Mus musculus: one gene and its partner. The protein of the gene in region 2 purifies or fractionates together with the protein of the main gene of each other region. This does not show direct contact. Links are inferred from orthologs where the notes say so. Each region holds a gene or a part of one and is shown on either strand. Other genes may lie near its edges. The genes, in order: Nphp4 and Nphp1.

Region 1 (4,009 bases), on a different chromosome or scaffold from region 2:
CTCACTGCTCTCCAGACGAAATGGGCACAGACTCGTCCAGAACCTGGTACCTGAGACCATGGTAAGCATTACTGGTGAGGAGGGCCCTCCAGACACAAGCCCTCACACAGCCCCTGGCCCTCCTCAGATCAACTTCCTCACCCCACAAGCCTTGAAAAGCACTCATGCACCAGCATGCCCTCCAGGGTCTGCCTGACCCTCGCTGACTCTACTTACTGCCTGTCAGGTTCATACAGGAGACCTGAGGACCACCCTCCCCTCCCCACCAGCTCCTCCCCCACCCCACACTCGCGCCCTCTATAGAAACAGTCAATGCACCCCTGGGAGACTCTGAACTCCCTGAGTCAGCATTAGTCCTTGGCGAGACTCAGTCCGCAACAGAAAGAATTAAGACCACTCTGGCAGAAAGGATAGTCTAAAGAGATACTTTGTAACCCTAAAGAAGTAAAATTTCCCCAGGAATCCCAGGCAGCGGGGAGAGACAGAGGAGGAACTTGCCTCTGGAAAGAGAACAGACACCGTGCCTTTTCAGGCCATCTTGGTGGAGAGAGGAGAGCAGAGACAAGGATGGTTGAGTGATGGACTGGACCATGCCCTGGCCAGGACTGCTTAGTTTACATCCTCTCTGACCTGTTTATGCCTAAGAGGGACCCGTTTATCTTCCTCCTCCCAATATGGCCACACTGAATAAATCTTTCTCCACTTTTCATGACTATCTGTCTCTTTAACCAGTTTACTGAAGACGTAAGTGTAAGAGATCAGTATCGGCTCGGGACCCCAGGACCACGTCCTCAGCACAAAGGAGATGTATTTGCCTCAGCTGAACAGGGAGTGGGGGAACAAGACACAAAGACAGGAGATGGAGGATGAGGGAGAAGGGGAAGGGAACAAGAGAGAGGGAAGAGGGGTATTTGTCCCCAAGGACAAAGGACTGCCTCTGGATAGAGAGAAGACAGACATGGCCCAGAGGAAAAATGGCGGTTTATAAAGGAAAAATGGGAAACTCTGTGTTAGGATGAGGTGTTCAATTTTAATTTTAATTGGGTGTATTCATCAGGTGAGCCAAAGGGGGCTTTTAATTACTGAAGTTCAAATACTTTGAAAGCTGAACCTTGGTGGTCAGCCTCGGGAAGAAGCGGGCAAGTAAGGGAATGGCCCTTGGGGGCTAGCTTTAGGAAAGCAATCTAACAGTTTTTAGCAAGGCAGAGGGATGAGGCAGCGTCAGTACCTCCCACCTTACATACGTGGAGACTGGCTCAGACAGGGGAGTTCACAGCTGATACTGACTAGCCTACACCCGTGCCACAGTCCTCCTCCCACTCAGGAAGCCAGGGGATGTCTAGAAGAGGGCAGTGAGCGAGTCCTGCTGGAGATGCCCAACGATGAGGCCAATTCTGTCTCAGCTTCTATGCAGATCCTCACCTCCCCTGCCTGCTTCCAATTGGCCAGACTAGAGCCTTGATGGAGTCTTAGATTCTTCGTTTCTACAGGCCTACTCAGTAAAGGTTTGCCAACACCTGATGTATTCCAGAGGCAAAATGTCATCGCCAACAACAACACTAATTGGTGTGGTGTGGGGGGAGGGTGCATCGCACAGTATGGATCATAACCAAGACACATTTGGTAGTGGGGAAGGGGAGCGACAGGTCAGATCCACACGGAAGGACGGTCAGATGACCCAGAGAGGCTGAAATTCCACAAATTGTGGTGCCAAGCTCAGTGAAGCCTCGTCCCCAGAAATGAAGACCTGAGATTTACCCAATCTAGGGGTGGGGTTATGATGGAGAGCTGACCTGAGAGTCTGATTAAGGGATGCCCTCATTCAACCCTCTGCTATGGAACTAAAGACATGGTCTTTACCAAAGTGGACAGTCTCGCAGATGCCTGGATACAAACACCAGAGCGAGATAGAGCTAGGGCAGTTTGGAACACAAGGCAGAATTACGGCGCGTGGGCACTGTATGGCTGAGCTGCAATGAGACCAGGATTGGGACAGAGAAAACTTGCCCATTCCCTAAACCCACAAAGCCAACTTCAATGCAAACTTCCACGTGAGCCGCGAGAGCATCTCCCCCTAACAAGGCAGGACTAGACATACTGAGAATCCGGACAGCAGTGTGGGTTGGAATTCCAAGCAGTGGAGAAGGCCAACCCTGCGCCCCAGTGGCTGGACATGGACTGAGCCAGGGGCCTCACAGTGCATCGAGGGTCGCAGGGATCTGAGCGAGTTGCATGGCCTAAGGCTGGGATAGAGGCGGGCACACCAGACGGTGGGCATCTTCAAGGCTCTGGCGAGCGTACAGTATCCATTTCGACCCCGGACCGCAGCGCGCACCGGCTCAGAAGGCAGAGAACTAACTGAAGAAGACCCAGCAGCCCAACATCAGCTGGCAACCGGGATGCACCAATGGCGATGCGAGGGGGAGAAGATGCAACCCACGCAAGTCAGGCCCGGTCCTGTGCCCCGTGCGGTGCCTTGCAAACCCCAGGTTGTCCGTAAGAATCAATATGCAGCCCCACCCAGGACCCTGAGGCCTCTTCGAGGCTCTGCTGCCACCCGCGACTCCAACACACGCTGACTTCCCCCGCACTTGGTTCAGTCCTTGCTGGCGCGTTACCTAGGAGACGGGCACCGGATCCACGCTACCGAACACGTCCCGCACCGTGGATCCAGCGATCGGGCTGCCGGTGCCCAGCGGAACCCGAGGAGTCGTGGGTCCAGTGCTGACCGAGGGGGTCACCCAATCCACCGCCACCCACGCGTGGAGCCCGGGCCTGAGGGATACCGCTCACTCAGCACAGAACCCGCCCCACGTCACTTTTGCGTCAAGGCCGCGCGGCCAATGAGAACCCGAGTCCAAGGATTCTGACTCTGCGCGCGCCCGCCAATCCACGCATCGGCGGGAGCTGCATGATTTGCATGGACTGCCTTGGCCATTGCCAATGAGACTGTGACTGGCGTGAAGCATAGCCAATAATAGGCTGCTAGGGGCGTGGCCGAGGGAGTCCCACGAGGTAAAGATGCTGCGGGCGGAACCTGCCGGAGCGAGCGGGATTCGGGGGTGCTAAAGTCGCAAGGGCAGGGCAGGAAGGAAGATCCGGAACGGGGCGTGGGATCCGGAGCTGGAGGCCCCCAGGTGAGTGCAGCCGGGAGACCCCGGCGGGCACCTGCGAGGCTGCGCTGTCGCGGCCACCGCGGTCCCCTTCCAATCTCCTCTTCCCTGGCCCCTCATCCCTGCCCCCGCTGTCGTTCTCACCTCCTCTCCAACCTCCTCATCTCCTTCTCCACAGTCTCCCTGCCCCCACCCCACCCTCTCTGCTTCCCTGTCATTCTAACCCCACCTTTCGGTCGACATCCCGGACCCCTACCCCAAACTTCAATCCCTGGCTCTCTACCCCTTCCAGCCCTGCATCCTCGCCTCGCCCTTGCCTCCCTGCTTCCCATCCTCTCTCAGCCTCTAAGCGCCCCTTAGTAGCTGTCTTCTTTCATCTCCCTCCTTGTTGCTCCTCCAGACGCATCCTTCGTCCTTGCTACCTGCCCTGTGTCCCTCTCGCCTTGACCCAGCTTCCCACCCATTCTGCTCTCGGGCCCCTTCCATGCCTGCCACCACTACCGCACCGCACCGCAGTCTATTTTGCGGTGCTCCCCGGCACCTTGACACCCGTTGCAGCTGTACCTGGTTCCCCCCCCGCTGTCCCTGTCTCTTCACCTCTACCCTCATCCTCAGCTTCTCCCCCTGTGCCCAGGCCCTGGCACTAAGCACTTCCCCACTTCCCTACCTGCTGCTGCTTCTGCTGCAGGATGCAGAGCGCGCTCCGCTGCTGCACTGCTGCCTGCTGCAGTATCTGCAGCAAGATGTACCTGCCCACCTGCCCTCCCTCCTGACTGACGTACCCTGCTTGCTTCTCCTGGCATTTGTCCTGGGGTCTCCCGCAGCATGCCTGGGGCACCCTGGGGTGCTCCAAGTGGGAAGCCTTCCAGCACCCCTTGCTGCCTGCCTACGGGGCT
Region 2 (4,013 bases):
CACAGAAGAACTGCTTCCATCAGACTGGCCTGTTGGCATGCCTGTGGGACATTTTCGTGACTGTTAATTATCTCAGAGGCCCAGCCCTAGGCAGGTGGGCCTGTGGAGAAGGCAGGCAGCTGGATGTGAGCCTGAGAGCTGACGATGAGCAGCAGCTCTTGTGGGGTTTGCTTCAGTTTTGGTCTCTAGGCTTCTGCCTTGAGCTCCTGCCTGGCTTTCCTTGGTGATGACTGTGTTCTGTAAGCGAAGTAACTTTCCTCCTTGAAGTTGCTTTTCGTCATGGCGTTTATCATAGCAAATTGAAACAGCAATCCACAGCCGGCTGTGGCTGGACATCACCCCTGATGCAAACCCAGGCTCTTGGCGGCTGAAAATCATCCCCACGAAAAGCATTTGTGTCAATGGAGATTTTGGTGATTCATCATACTTACTTTGTTTAATTTTTGAAGGGTGTTTTTATTTTCATCTACTGCCTGTTTTAACTGGATACATCTAAATTTTGAAAAGATAAAGTATAGGTCAGTTCTCTATTGTCAGAACTAGGCACTACTTTTTATCAAATCATCCACAGTTTCTTGAGTGGTAAGGCTAATTGTTCACCTAGAGAACAGTTGGTCACATGAAGACAGCTGAAAAGTGACTATCCTGAGCAGGGACAAATGGCTTTTAGAGATTTGTGACCAGGTCTTCAAATCTGGGCTCTGCTGGTCAAGACGCTAGGGTGATTCTGCCTCAGCCAGGGAGGTTGACCCCGAGCAGGGTTTACAGTTGCTGTCATGAAAACAGCAAGTCCACAACTGTCCGGTGCAGTGTGCTTTCTTCTAGATCTGTGCTACATCTACAGGGAACTTCTAGCCTCATCACCACAGACTGCAGCTAAGCGCCCGCTCTCCCTTCAGAGAACTCAGATTTCTCAGCTGCCCTAAAACATTTGTGTCGTCTTCCCGCTTTAATGTCTAATTTGATTGTCTCGTTTATGTCAGCAGGCATCTCACAGTGTTATTGTGAAGATGAAGACAAAGTTTGCAGAGTACAGGCACGAGTCTTAGCACAGAGAACAAACTGAGAGCAGGCTCCTGTCCGTCCCTGTCCCTGTCTCCGTCCCTGTCCCCGTCCCCTGCAGGGCTCTGCTCTCGCTCTCCTTCCGATTGGACTGGGTAGAAAGTGGTGTTTTAAACACATTATGGAGACATTTACTCACTGATCCTTCCACATTACTCTCCATTACTATTTCATTTTGGGGGAAAGGAAAAGAGTAAGATGAAGATGGAGAGGGTGAGAGTGAGAGAGTGAGCAAGCAAGAGGGGGCGGGGGAAACTTGCTGTACAACATTTAAATAGCACCCGCTGAACAAGCCCTGGATGGGCGGGCGGGCGGACCGCATACTTACCTTTGGTAAATCTCTCTCCTTTTACTCGGTTCCAGAGCACCTGTTAGTTGGCTTTCAGTCACCAAACTATCAACCTACAACAGACGGAGACAGTTTAAAACACTGTATAAACTGCCATGTTGCCTTGAGAAAATAGAACTTTACTAATTTTCCCACAATATATAATAAACAGTTTTGAACATGAGCATACAATAAAGTGGAATTTTACAGTAAATACTACACCTGGATCCTACCATTAGCATCTTATAATGCCTGTTTATCTATCCAGGTCTTTTTCCCCACAAAAACCATCAGTAAGTGTATTCCCTCAAATCATACACCATTGGCTTCACAAGCTAGAGCACTCTGTTAAGGTCCCAGGTGCATCTGTACAACCCTGAGGCGCACGTTTACTGTACTTTAACAGACGGATTCTCTTCATAACCCCGAACCTTACCAAGATGTAGGAAACTGCCCCACAAATGACTTTACTCCCTTCCTAATAAATCCTTACTCCAATTCTCCTGAGATAAAACCAGCTCATTTTTTCCACTACAAGTGAGTTTTTCCCACTCACGGGGACTGAAGGGAGCTGGCTGGCACGACTGTGTAAGCTCTCCTGTGCCCCATGCTTCTGAGGGATTTCATCCTGTGTGGCTTGGCTTATTCTTCACTACAGATGTGCCAGGACTTTCCTTTGACTAGTGTTTTATGGGCACTCTCCTTACCTCTGTTAAGCTCCCTTAGAGGCAGACATTCTATGGCTTCTCTATAGAGAGTGCGGAAAAGGCAGTGTGAGGGAGAGGAGAGGTCAACTCTCACCAGCTTCCTCTTCACTCTTGCAGTTTGGTGTCCACAAAAATGCTATTAAAATTCACCCCCAGGGCAGAGCCATCCATCCAAGGCCCAAGTGAAAGACGATTCCTTGGTCCACAGATGCCAACATGAATATCTTCAGATATGGACACTGGCAAAACTAGCTAATAGTATCACCATTACCTTTCCAGATATGGCATTAAAGGGCTCCTCACGCCTCATCAAGGAGACTTTCTTTACAATGGACAATTACAGGAAACCACAACAGATCAAAGTGGCAGAGTTGTGGAGCCCAGTCCCAGATGATACATTTACAACAAAACTGCACCTAAGACTCAGGCATCTCTGTGGAAAAGAGGATGGAAAGATTGTAAGAGCCAAGGAACAGGAAGCTTGCTGTGAGATTATGTATCCTAGAAATTTGAGAGAAGCTAAACTGATAAGAGTCTCACTAATACAGCTGCCCAAACAAGACTTGAACAACCTGGAGTCACCAATAGACATGCTAGTGTGAAAGAGATAGAGCTTAGAGACTGGCCTAAACAGAGAAATGTGGACAACTAAGGAAGGCTGAGAGCAGGGGAAATAGCCTTCCCCAGGGAAGAGCACACCAAATGGTTAACCAAGCAAATGGTCAGCCCTGAAAACATACGTGAGAGTAACGTTATACAGACGGAGCAGGAGCAGGCTGTATTTATATATTTAGGAAAACACACACACCAACAACAATGATTAAAGAATAAGAGGCAAGGAAAGAGAGTGGGGCTGGGCTGGAGGAGGGAGTGGCAGTAGCACATGTGAGGATCTGGAAGGAAAGGGAAAGGATAATTAAGAAATAAAAAAGAGAGCTCCTGAGCCAATCTGTCTCCAGATCAAAAAAATCCTGAAAACAATAAATGATAAGTTTCCCTGCTGTACTGGCTGGTTTTGTGTGTCAACTTGACACAAACTGGAGTTATCACAGAGAAAGGAGCTTCATTTGAGGAAATGACTCCATGAGATCTAGCTGAAAGGCATTTTCTTAATTAGTGATCAAGAAGGGAGAGCCCATTGTGGGTGATGCCATCCCTGGGCTGGTAGTCTTGGTTCTATAAGAGAGCAGGCTGAGCAAGCCAGGGGAAGCAAGCCAGTAAAGAACATCCCTCCATGGCCTCTGCATCAGCTCCTGCTTCCTGACCTGCTTGAGTTCCAGTCCTGACTTCCTTGGTGATGAACAGCAGTATGGAAGTGTAAGCTGAATAAACCCTTTCCTCCCCAACTGCTTCTTGGTCATGATGTTTGTGCAGGAATAGAAACCCTGACTAAGACTCTCTGACCCTGACACAACACTCTCTCTTCTCTTCTCTTCTCTTCTCTTCTCTTCTCTTCTCTTCTCTTCTCTTCTCTTCTCTTCTCTCCCTCTCCCCTCCTCCCCCCTCCCCACTTCTCTTCTCTCTCCTTTCTCTCTCTCCTTTCTCTCACTGTTCTGTCTCACCCTGACACAGTATAACCTAGGTGGGAAGCCATGCTGCATTAGACCAGAACATGCATGCAACATAGAAAAATCCTGGGCCAAGGTCATCACCTCAACCTATTTCGGAGGCACCTAGTTAGGTCTGGGAGCTCACTGGAGCTTTCTTCTGTCTCTTGAGACCTGCTTGGTCAAGTTTCTAGGCTTGGGAGACTTTCTATGGCTGAGAGAACTGCTAGATCAGCCCAAAACTCTGAGAACCTCCCATGGCCCTGTGGATTCTCAACCCTGGCACTGTGACAGCTAGGGACACTTGTTTCGCAGGTGTGTTTGGTCATTTTGAGGATGCTCTAGGTGACTGGCTATTGACCCGTTTCT

What was found.
Region 1: the proteins of Nphp1 (region 2) and Nphp4 purify together in Homo sapiens (co-immunoprecipitation; 6 studies listed by BioGRID and IntAct, with this or other methods). This does not show direct contact. The link is inferred for Mus musculus from reciprocal best matches to the Homo sapiens genes NPHP1 and NPHP4.

The regions. Positions count from the first base shown.
Region 1 is NC_000070.6:152,476,529-152,480,537, reverse strand, and holds the start of Nphp4 (nephrocystin-4), read right to left. Parts: upstream 2,801-4,009; 5' UTR 2,619-2,800; intron 2,576-2,618; exon of another isoform or gene 2,099-2,575; intron 2,082-2,098; exon of another isoform or gene 1-2,081. UniProt on the Homo sapiens protein: Involved in the organization of apical junctions; the function is proposed to implicate a NPHP1-4-8 module. Does not seem to be strictly required for ciliogenesis. Required for building functional cilia.
Region 2 is NC_000068.7:127,778,673-127,782,685, forward strand, and holds part of Nphp1 (nephrocystin-1), read right to left. Parts: intron 1,465-4,013; coding exon 1,391-1,464; intron 493-1,390; coding exon 432-492; intron 1-431. UniProt on the Homo sapiens protein: Together with BCAR1 it may play a role in the control of epithelial cell polarity. Involved in the organization of apical junctions in kidney cells together with NPHP4 and RPGRIP1L/NPHP8. Does not seem to be strictly required for ciliogenesis.